Saccharomyces cerevisiae S288C: one gene and its partners. The gene in region 1 interacts genetically with each later gene. Each region holds a gene or a part of one and is shown on either strand. Other genes may lie near its edges.

Region 1 (3,437 bases):
TAGGTGCTGGAACAGTGGCTGATTTATATATTAGCGAAGATAGAGGTAAAAATTTGAGTTATTACTATTTGGGTCCACTACTGGCGCCGCTACTATCTCCAATTTTTGGATCTTTGTTAGTGAATCGCTGGCCCTGGAGATCCACTCAATGGTTTATGGTTATTTTATCCGGATGTAATGTCATTCTTTTGACGGTGTTACTACCTGAAACATTAAGAAAACAAGATTCTAAAGGCGCTATCGCTCAAATTTTGGCTGAAAGACGTATTCAAGTAGACAATAACGAACGTGGAGAGATACAAGAAGATTATCAGAGGGGAGAAGATGAGACAGATCGAATTGAAAACCAAGTTGCCACATTATCTACTGAGAAGCATAACTACGTTGGAGAGGTAAGGGATCAAGACTCGCTAGATTTAGAAAGTCACTCTAGCCCCAATACTTATGATGGTCGAGCTGGAGAAACCCAATTGCAACGGATTTATACAGAGGCGAGTAGAAGTCTGTATGAATATCAGCTAGATGATAGCGGTATCGATGCAACAACAGCACAAGTTACGAGAATAAGATCAACAGATCCAAAGTTAGCGAGATCGATTCGAGAAAATAGTCTGAGAAAATTACAAACCAACCTGGAAGAGCAAGTCAAAAAAGTGCTATCCAGTAATGGAGGTGAAATCGCTCCTAAACAGGTATCAGCGGTGAGGAAGGTCTGGGACACCTTTTTTGTTTATTTTATCAAGCCTTTAAAATCATTGCACTTCCTAGAATATCCACCCGTGGCACTTGCAATAACATTTTCCGCAATTTCCTTTTCCACAGTATACTTTGTTAATATGACAGTTGAATATAAATATTCAAGGCCTCCTTACAACTTTAAACCATTATACATTGGTCTACTGTATATTCCGAATTCTGTAACATACTTTTTCGCCTCAATTTACGGTGGACGTTGGGTGGACATGCTTTTAAAAAGATACAAAGAGAAATATGGAATTCTTGCTCCTGAAGCTCGTATATCGTGGAATGTTGTTACATCTGTAATATCTTTCCCCATTGCGCTATTGATATTTGGCTGGTGCCTAGATAAAAAATGCCACTGGGTAACGCCACTAATTGGAACAGCCCTCTTTGGATATGCAGCTATGATGACAATTGGTGCTACCCTTTCCTATTTAGTCGATTCATTGCCGGGAAAGGGTGCCACCGGTGTTGCTTTGAATAATTTAATAAGGCAAATCTTGGCTGCAACCGCAGTCTTTGTCACCACACCCATGTTAAACGGTATGGGAACTGGGTGGGCTTTCACAATGCTGGCCTTTATCGTCTTGGGTGCTAGCAGTGTACTTATAATACTGAAAAAGCACGGTGATTACTGGAGAGAGAACTACGATTTACAAAAATTGTACGACAAAATTGATTAATCATATCGGTTAATAAGACGGAAGCGTAAATATTTTCATTGTAGACTTTTCATAGGGTGGCACATACATAGTTTACTTTAGTTTATGGTAAATCGTTATTGTGCTAAAAGTATTATTAAATAATGTTCAACAACATCTCAAGAGGCGAAAAACTCATCAGAAAAAGAAATATAAACGCGAAAGATCATTAATGAACACTAGCCAACAAAAAAAAAGGATATATCAGGTCCACTGGTATTGAGATTGCTAGCGAGGTCAATAAGCTGATGCTGCATCAAAAAATAGCTCATAAAGTTCGAAAAGTCGTCGTCCCAGGTATTTCCTTATTGATTTTCTTCCAGGGATGCCTTATTCTTTTGTTTCTCCAACTCACCTATAAGACTCTTTACTGTAGAAATGATATAAGGAAACAAATTGGTCTCAATAAAACCAAAAGATTATTTATTGTCTTGGTATCATCCATTTTGCATGTTGTCGCACCATCTGCAGTGAGAATTACCACTGAAAATTCCAGTGTTCCTAAAGGTACTTTTTTTTTAGACTTGAAGAAGAAAAGGATTCTTTCTCATCTAAAGTCCAATTCGGTGGCCATTTGCAATCACCAAATATACACGGATTGGATATTTTTATGGTGGTTGGCTTACACATCGAACTTAGGGGCTAATGTCTTCATTATTTTAAAAAAATCGTTGGCTTCCATTCCTATCCTCGGTTTCGGTATGAGAAACTATAATTTCATTTTTATGAGTAGAAAGTGGGCACAAGACAAAATAACCCTAAGCAACAGCCTTGCTGGCCTTGATTCGAATGCAAGGGGCGCCGGCTCACTTGCTGGAAAGTCACCTGAGCGCATAACTGAGGAAGGAGAGAGCATATGGAATCCGGAGGTTATTGATCCAAAACAAATCCATTGGCCATACAATCTTATCCTATTCCCTGAAGGTACAAATCTCAGTGCTGATACTAGGCAAAAAAGTGCTAAATATGCTGCCAAAATAGGCAAAAAGCCATTCAAGAATGTGCTACTGCCTCATTCTACAGGCCTAAGATACTCGTTACAAAAGTTGAAGCCAAGTATTGAAAGTCTTTATGATATTACGATCGGCTACTCCGGTGTAAAACAGGAGGAATATGGTGAGCTTATATATGGGCTGAAGAGCATATTTTTAGAAGGAAAATACCCGAAGTTAGTCGATATTCACATCAGAGCATTTGATGTTAAAGATATTCCATTAGAGGACGAGAATGAATTTTCAGAATGGCTGTATAAAATTTGGAGTGAGAAGGATGCTCTAATGGAAAGGTACTATTCCACTGGATCATTCGTAAGTGATCCTGAAACAAACCATTCAGTTACCGATAGTTTCAAGATCAATCGTATTGAGTTAACTGAAGTGCTAATATTACCAACTCTAACAATAATTTGGTTAGTTTATAAACTTTATTGTTTTATTTTTTGAATTTAAATAATCCTTTCCATATGTTATTAGGTACATATATAGATAGATATAAAACTTTTTTTGATTCTTTATCAATATTACGTTTACATACGTACTCTCGTGCAAGGAAAAATACTTTATCCTAATTCAGGAACATCAAATCATAATTTAATTGTTTGTGCATCGATGGCTTCCCAATCAGCAGCGGTCAAGACTTCATAGCGCTTGTAATTCTTGAGCCAAAAAATAGTGTCATTTCCATCCAAACCCTTTGGTAATTTTTGCTCTCTATAAACCTTCTTCAAAATTTTATGATTATCTGTCATTTTAATTTCATCAACAAATTTAACAAATAGGGGCATAGCATAAGACGGTAGATTTAACCGGCTCAAGGAATCATTTAATAATTTGGTCTTTGCAGTGATGTCAAGAGAGTTGTCAGTTAGTTTAATAACTGCAAAACCAGCTCTACCTTCATATTTAGGTACTTTAATACCAACAACTAGAACTTGTGCATATTGTTCTTTGTTACTGGCCGTCAACTGATCTTCTACTTCAGTAGTGGAAACATTTT
Region 2 (4,138 bases), on another chromosome or scaffold:
CAGTATCCATAGACAAACTAAACGCTGTTTATTTAGTCGAAGAGTTGATGGAAACCGATTTACAAAAAGTAATTAATAATCAGAATAGCGGGTTTTCCACTTTAAGTGATGACCATGTTCAATACTTTACATACCAAATCCTCAGAGCCTTAAAGTCTATTCACAGTGCACAAGTTATCCATAGAGACATAAAGCCATCAAACCTGTTACTAAATTCCAATTGTGATCTCAAAGTCTGCGATTTTGGACTAGCGAGGTGTTTAGCTAGCAGTAGCGATTCAAGAGAAACATTGGTAGGATTCATGACGGAGTACGTCGCAACGCGATGGTACAGGGCACCCGAGATAATGCTAACTTTTCAAGAGTACACAACTGCGATGGATATATGGTCATGCGGATGCATTTTGGCTGAAATGGTCTCCGGGAAGCCTTTGTTCCCAGGCAGAGACTATCATCATCAATTATGGCTAATTCTAGAAGTCTTGGGAACTCCATCTTTCGAAGACTTTAATCAGATCAAATCCAAGAGGGCTAAAGAGTATATAGCAAACTTACCTATGAGGCCACCCTTGCCATGGGAGACCGTCTGGTCAAAGACCGATCTGAATCCAGATATGATAGATTTACTAGACAAAATGCTTCAATTCAATCCTGACAAAAGAATAAGCGCAGCAGAAGCTTTAAGACACCCTTACCTGGCAATGTACCATGACCCAAGTGATGAGCCGGAATATCCTCCACTTAATTTGGATGATGAATTTTGGAAACTGGATAACAAGATAATGCGTCCGGAAGAGGAGGAAGAAGTGCCCATAGAAATGCTCAAAGACATGCTTTACGATGAACTAATGAAGACCATGGAATAGTATTCACAAGAACATTTCTGCCATACTTCTAAAATTTCCCTATATTCAGCTTAGCAGTGACACGTTGTGGTCTGTAGGTCAATATGTAAGTAAGAAACTTCAACTCACATATGCACGATGCATGCCAATGGAAAAATGCAAGGAACGAAATGGCGCCACGGCAACAAGTTTTTTTTTTTCGCCAGCAGAAGTACACGAAATGCGGCTTCATGAGCCTCTTCACTGCTTTGCCTAAACGGGAAATGCAGAGAAAAACCAGCCATCGCGTGTGCTTGGAGAGCTGACGCGACTGTAATCAAAGAGGCGATATCAACACCTTTTATCCAGCACTATTCAACAGTGAATGGGCTCCCAAGTAAGTCTTGGCATTGTGCTTTCTATTCTTAAGTATTAAGTAGAAGTTTTGTTTACTGGGTTTGTTTATTCCTGGCTAGATGTTCGCATTCGTTTTCTAGTTGACCATATTTACCAAATATTCACAACTAATACCCAGCCAAGGTAGTCTAAAAGCTAATTTCTCTAAAAGGGAGAAAGTTGGTGATTTTTTATCTCGCATTATTATATATGCAAGAATAGTTAAGGTATAGTTATAAAGTTTTATCTTAATTGCCACATACGTACATTGACACGTAGAAGGACTCCATTATTTTTTTCATTCTAGCATACTATTATTCCTTGTAACGTCCCAGAGTATTCCATTTAATTGTCCTCCATTTCTTAACGGTGACGAAGGATCACCATACAACAACTACTAAAGATTATAGTACACTCTCACCTTGCAACTATTTATCTGACATTTGCCTTACTTTTATCTCCAGCTTCCCCTCGATTTTATTTTTCAATTTGATTTCTAAAGCTTTTTGCTTAGGCATACCAAACCATCCACTCATTTAACACCTTATTTTTTTTTTCGAAGACAGCATCCAACTTTATACGTTCACTACCTTTTTTTTTACAACAATTTCATTCTTCATCCTATGAAATGACGAAAATAACCAGAGATGTTTCGATAACGACAGAAAATTCAAAATCCACATCTGGATCGGCAACGGCTTCATCCGCATCTTTACCTGAGAACGACCACCCAATATTCCATCAACCGCGAGCAAGAATAAGATCTGGTTCGCTGTTCATCGAAGGATCTGATTCATTTCCATCATCAGAAGTGAAGTCATACAATGTTTATATTGATGATAGCAAGTATAGTGAAATCCTCAAAGGAGATACAAATTCAAGTAGTACTGATGGTAAACAAGTCTTTGAAGATGCTAGAGATGACAATTTCCATCAGGAATCACATAGAGATCTAGAGGATTCAATTTTAGATTTAGTACGACGAGATCCAGAAGTAGCAGCATTCCCTTTACCTCCGCCAAATTCAAATGAGAGGAACAGAAATTCCTCAAACGGGTCTTCCGCTGAAACTAACCTAAATGGACACAGCAGCAGCGGTACCATCTCTACTTCGGTGCTGTTGAATATGGGTTCGGCAGAAAAGCACGCTGGGACGACCAGAGGAGATCATATGGAATCATCTTCAATGAAATCCTTCGAGAAACTGGGAACCAGACCTTCTTCTTTATTCTATCCACCACCCGAAGGAACTGCGCCGTACCAGGGACCAAGGGCTACCGTCTCCGGAAATAAGTCTACAAGGCAAACACAAGGTACATACTCATTTCCTTCTATGCGGTATGGTGTAGATCTTGTTTCTCCTGTGGAAGGGGCTGTTGATGTAGCAAAAAGCAGAGTTCCTAACAGCACGCTAAATGGTACTTTTCCCGATAAAGCGTTTATCCCACATGAATTTCAAATTCCTAAAAAGGCCTGGAACAGAATACCAGCGAATAAGTCCACTAGCCTCAAAACCCCAAGAAACCATTCCCTATTAATTGACATATTAAAGCCTTTTGAAGCAGCTGACCTTGCTAATGACCAGCGAAGTTCTTCCGCTGTTTTAAAAAATACAGTGCATTCTAATGGGCAGTATAATCCAACTAATGAAACCTCTGGAACTCGAATGCAAGATCAAAGGCAGAAGAATACCAACGAAATTGATTTAGAGAAAATTCCTAATCCTCAAGTCCCTCTTGGTATCGCAATGGACACCATGCGTAGTCCAAACCAACTACACGAAAAGGAATACGAAAGTAATATAGAAGCTGGTTTAGCTTCTGGGGTCGGAAAAGGTGACAATAGTATTAAGCAACATCAATATAAAAAAATTCCTCAAGAAATTGATCGAGATCAGCAATTAAGTTTTCAAATGGAAACAATGCCCATTCAAAGAATAGATTCCTCCTCCATACGTTCATTTGATTCCCGAATATATGGCTTCTCCGAGATTTATAGTATTCCAAGGGTTATAACTACACTGTGCATCTGCCTTTTTGTTCCGCCCTTATTCTTTTTCTTTTCAATCAATGGAAATAATGGCGTTTCAAATTATAGATTAATGAGAATGATAATGAATTATGAACATAGAATCGGCCTCCTCAAAGGGTTTGAATGGGACATTGACGTACAATGGTTCAGGACATTGTGCTTTGTATTAGGATGTATAGAGATGTTAGCTATCTTTGCTAGCATAGGAATAGGATTTGGTGTGGGAATAATAAGAGAGTAACTCCATGCTGGACTTACTCGTCGAAGATTTCCTGCTACTCTCTATATAATTAGACACCCATGTTATAGATTTCAGAAAACAATGTAATAATATATGGTAGCCTCCTGAAACTACCAAGGGAAAAATCTCAACACCAAGAGCTCATATTCGTTGGAATAGCGATAATATCTCTTTACCTCAATCTTATATGCATGTTATTTGCTCTTATAATTGGTCTCTATTTAGGGAAAAAAGTCGGTTTGAGAGCTTCTCGCGATGTGAAATCTCAATTTGAACTGCACGCCAAAGCTAGCCCATTTCACGAACACCAGAAAGAAGAAATCCCCAAGGATCGCATGACAGAGTATGCTCTCTCATATCGTTGAGTATGAATGCCAATACACTGATCAGCTTTACAAGAAACGTAAAATCTGGCACGATGGTAGACTGAAATACTTTCAGTTAAACAACAGATTCATGCTTTATACGGAAAAGGATAACGTTTTGTTAGCTAGTGAATTTAAAATAAATTCAAAAGAGCTGAAAGCAATTCTAAATCCAGAAGGTTTTGATATTGAAGAACATAGGATTTTTAGTCAGTTTTTGGTGATTATTTCAAATATTATTGAGGAGTACGATAGAGATATTCAAGTGGCAGCAACGCATG
Region 3 (4,587 bases), 120 kb from region 1:
TTTATATCAAATGGAAGAAGCGTCCATTAAGAAAAAAGCAAAAAAAGCTGTACCTGCTATTATGGAGAGGAGTAAGCGCTTTTCTCATTAACGTAAAAAGAGAGGTAAGAAAAAAAAGGAAGGGGACCTAGGCACCTCATAGTGAGAAGATTGAAAACGGCGTATCAAACAAATGGTTAAAATGAGAAGAATAACACCTACACGCCTCCTATTCACATGCAGATATATTTCAAACAATGCTTCTCCACCAGTGCAGCCCTTGAATGTGCTTTTCTTTGGTAGCGACACTTTCAGTAATTTCTCATTGCAAGCACTCAATGAGTTGCGTCAAAATAATGGAAGCTGTGGTATAGTGGACAATATTCAAGTAGTAACTAGGTCGCCGAAGTGGTGCGGTAGACAGAAGTCTATTTTGAAATACCCGCCGATCTTCGATATGGCAGAGAAGCTTCAATTGCCACGCCCAATTACATGCGACACCAAGCAGGAAATGTTGGCGCTAAGCAAACTGACACCCAGTCGCCAAGGAAATCCGGAGAACGACGGCTCCGGTGCTCCGTTCAACGCGATCATTGCGGTTTCTTTTGGGAAGCTCATTCCGGGTGACTTGATCCGCGCGGTGCCATTGGCGCTAAACGTCCATCCTTCGCTACTTCCCAGACATAAAGGCAGTGCACCTATCCAGCGAGCTCTGCTCGAGGGTGACACTTACACCGGTGTAACTATACAGACACTGCATCCGGATCGGTTTGACCATGGTGCAATTGTAGCGCAGACGGAGCCACTGGCGATCGCAACAATGCTGTCAAAAGGGAGAGTCAATGATTCGACGGCAGATTTTAATTCTGAGGGCCTGCCTCGGAGGACTGCCATACTGATGGACCAGTTGGGCGCCCTTGGCGCCCAACTTTTGGGCCAAACGCTTCGTGAGAGGTTATATCTACCACAGAACCGTGTGCAAGCGCCAACAGCTTACAAACCCAGTTACGCCCACCGTATAACAACAGAAGATAAACGCATTCATTGGGCGCGCGATTCTGCCGCCGAACTACTTAACAAACTCGAAACGCTCGGTCCTCTGCACGCGTTCAAAGAAGCGACAGCGGCAAGAAAGGACGCTCAAAATTCAGTATTAAAACGAATATTGTTTCATGAGTGTAAAGTGATGAGAGACGCACGTCTAGATAATGGCAGTAAACCGGGCATGTTCAAATATGATGATATTAAAGACTGTATTTTGGTCACCTGTCGCGGCAACTTACTACTATGTGTGAGCCGCCTCCAGTTCGAAGGTTTCGCCGTAGAACGTGCTGGCCAGTTCATGGCGCGCCTGCGGAAAAGATGCGGCGCCCTGAGTGAAAAGTTAGTTTTCCTGTAACCCGGCTCTACATTCCTCTTTTAGTATTCTTCTTCTCCCTTCTTTCAATCCCTCATCCATCGGTCTCTCAACAACTATGGCTGCCAAGCCCTACGCGCTATGAAGAAAAAGAAAAGTAGGCCCGCCTTCTTTCCCAGTTGCAGTTTATTTATGATTCGGAAAGATTGATGTTAGTAATGGCTTGTAGTTCATAACAGAGTGAATTAAGTGTAGGAAGCCCGGAATTAAATATATAGTAAAAAGAGCACAGGGGCGTTTACATCGGGGTAAAAAAAAATGCCTGCACCAAAACTCACGGAGAAATTTGCCTCTTCCAAGAGCACACAGAAAACTACGAATTACAGTTCCATCGAGGCCAAAAGCGTCAAGACGTCGGCTGATCAGGCATACATCTACCAAGAGCCTAGCGCTACCAAGAAGATACTTTACTCCATCGCCACATGGCTGTTGTACAACATCTTCCACTGCTTCTTTAGAGAAATCAGAGGCCGGGGCAGTTTCAAGGTACCGCAACAGGGACCGGTGATCTTTGTTGCGGCTCCGCATGCTAACCAGTTCGTCGACCCTGTAATCCTTATGGGCGAGGTGAAGAAATCTGTCAACAGACGTGTGTCCTTCTTGATTGCGGAGAGCTCATTAAAGCAACCCCCCATAGGGTTTTTGGCTAGTTTCTTCATGGCCATAGGCGTGGTAAGGCCGCAGGATAATTTGAAACCGGCAGAAGGTACTATCCGCGTAGATCCAACAGACTACAAGAGAGTTATCGGCCACGACACGCATTTCTTGACTGATTGTATGCCAAAGGGTCTCATCGGGTTACCCAAATCAATGGGATTTGGAGAAATCCAGTCCATAGAAAGTGACACGAGTTTGACCCTAAGAAAAGAGTTCAAAATGGCCAAACCAGAGATTAAAACTGCTTTACTCACCGGCACTACTTATAAATATGCCGCTAAAGTCGACCAATCTTGCGTTTACCATAGAGTTTTTGAGCATTTGGCCCATAACAACTGCATTGGGATCTTTCCTGAAGGTGGGTCCCACGACAGAACAAACTTGTTGCCCCTGAAAGCAGGTGTGGCGATTATGGCTCTTGGTTGCATGGATAAGCATCCTGACGTCAATGTTAAGATTGTTCCCTGCGGTATGAATTATTTCCATCCACATAAGTTCAGGTCGAGAGCGGTTGTTGAATTCGGTGACCCCATTGAAATACCGAAGGAACTAGTCGCCAAGTACCACAACCCGGAAACGAACAGAGATGCAGTGAAAGAATTATTAGATACCATATCGAAGGGTTTACAATCCGTTACCGTTACATGTTCTGATTATGAAACTTTGATGGTGGTTCAAACGATAAGAAGACTATATATGACACAATTTAGCACCAAGTTACCGTTGCCCTTGATTGTGGAAATGAACAGAAGAATGGTCAAAGGTTACGAATTCTATAGAAACGATCCTAAAATAGCGGACTTGACCAAAGATATAATGGCATATAATGCCGCCTTGAGACACTATAATCTTCCTGATCACCTTGTGGAGGAGGCAAAGGTAAATTTCGCAAAAAACCTCGGACTTGTTTTTTTTAGATCCATCGGGCTCTGCATCCTCTTTTCGTTAGCCATGCCAGGTATCATTATGTTCTCACCTGTCTTCATATTAGCCAAGAGAATTTCTCAAGAAAAGGCCCGTACCGCTTTGTCCAAGTCTACAGTTAAAATAAAGGCTAACGATGTCATTGCCACGTGGAAAATCTTGATTGGGATGGGATTTGCGCCCTTGCTTTACATCTTTTGGTCCGTTTTAATCACTTATTACCTCAGACATAAACCATGGAATAAAATATATGTTTTTTCCGGGTCTTACATCTCGTGTGTTATAGTCACGTATTCCGCCTTAATCGTGGGTGATATTGGTATGGATGGTTTCAAATCTTTGAGACCACTGGTTTTATCTCTTACATCTCCAAAGGGCTTGCAAAAGCTACAAAAGGATCGTAGAAATCTGGCAGAAAGAATAATCGAAGTTGTAAATAACTTTGGAAGCGAATTATTCCCCGATTTCGATAGTGCCGCCCTACGTGAAGAATTCGACGTCATCGATGAAGAGGAAGAAGATCGAAAAACCTCAGAATTGAATCGCAGGAAAATGCTAAGAAAACAGAAAATAAAAAGACAAGAAAAAGATTCGTCATCACCTATCATCAGCCAACGTGACAACCACGATGCCTATGAACACCATAACCAAGATTCCGATGGCGTCTCATTGGTCAATAGTGACAATTCCCTCTCTAACATTCCATTATTCTCTTCTACTTTTCATCGTAAGTCAGAGTCTTCCTTAGCTTCGACATCCGTTGCACCTTCTTCTTCCTCCGAATTTGAGGTAGAAAACGAAATCTTGGAGGAAAAAAATGGATTAGCAAGTAAAATCGCACAGGCCGTCTTAAACAAGAGAATTGGTGAAAATACTGCCAGGGAAGAGGAAGAGGAAGAAGAAGAGGAAGAAGAAGAAGAGGAAGAAGAAGAAGAAGGGAAAGAAGGAGATGCGTAGATGCCATTTACTGACGGTGAAGATACTAGAAACTAAATCTTTCGCCGTTCTATTTATGTAATAAACCCATTATTGCTCATTGGGAGTTGTAAATATTAATGCTCAATGTTTATGTATATCCCTCGCACAGGGGCTTTTTATTTCTTGAGGGGGGGACTAATTGTATAATTGTATGTTTTATAAAAAAGTATATTGCTCTTTTACGACTTTTGGTCTGGTCCCCTATGCTACTAATAACATTTTATTCTCTTCAAACTTCAACGTTCAACCTGCTTTGCCGAGACGGCGATTAGTATCCTACCCAACTGAACCTTTTCTTTTTGTTTCGCTTTTTGTTATACAATGCAATTTCGTCTCGCTGTAGTCTTTGGGTATGTCCTGTCAAATTCGTCACTACATTTTCAAAAGTTGTCTTATCCTTTAGGAGGTCTCGCTGTTGTTTCTTCAATGATCTTGATTTACTAACCAAAAAGTCAATGGATTGACACAATGTATCGTGGTATTGGCGTAAAGATTCTTCATCCATACTAGTAAAATCTGCCATAAGCAATTGCGGTATATGCTGCTCTTGCTCACGCTCCTCTTCCTTTTGAAGAGATTTTAAAGTCATTGGTGGTGTATAGTCAATTTTGAAATTATCCCTCAGGAAGAGA

What was found.
Region 2: of CST26 (region 1) and BUD9, changing one suppresses a phenotype caused by changing the other (phenotypic suppression), as found in Saccharomyces cerevisiae (one study listed by BioGRID).
Region 3: of CST26 (region 1) and SCT1, extra expression of one rescues a mutant of the other (dosage rescue), as found in Saccharomyces cerevisiae (one study listed by BioGRID).

The regions. Positions count from the first base shown.
Region 1 is NC_001134.8:319,863-323,299, reverse strand, and holds CST26 (putative acyltransferase), read left to right. Parts: upstream 1-1,690; coding exon 1,691-2,884; downstream 2,885-3,437. Other genes in the region: QDR3 (Qdr3p), read left to right, coding at 1-1,424; long-chain fatty acid transporter FAT1, read right to left, coding at 3,025-3,437. UniProt on the Saccharomyces cerevisiae protein: Acyltransferase with lysophosphatidic acid acyltransferase (LPAAT) activity. Fatty acyl substrates include 18:0-acyl-CoA, 16:0-acyl-CoA, 17:0-acyl-CoA and 14:0-acyl-CoA.
Region 2 is NC_001139.9:575,639-579,776, forward strand, and holds BUD9 (Bud9p), read left to right. Parts: upstream 1-1,848; coding exon 1,849-3,492; downstream 3,493-4,138. Other genes in the region: mitogen-activated serine/threonine-protein kinase KSS1, read left to right, coding at 1-866; MTE1 (Mte1p), read left to right, coding at 3,838-4,138.
Region 3 is NC_001134.8:201,884-206,470, forward strand, and holds SCT1 (bifunctional glycerol-3-phosphate/glycerone-phosphate O-acyltransferase SCT1), read left to right. Parts: upstream 1-1,654; coding exon 1,655-3,934; downstream 3,935-4,587. Other genes in the region: FMT1 (methionyl-tRNA formyltransferase), read left to right, coding at 173-1,378; LAA2 (Laa2p), read right to left, coding at 4,224-4,587. UniProt on the Saccharomyces cerevisiae protein: Dual substrate-specific glycerol-3-phosphate/dihydroxyacetone phosphate sn-1 acyltransferase, catalyzing the first and committed reaction in the de novo synthesis of glycerophospholipids and triacylglycerols (TAGs).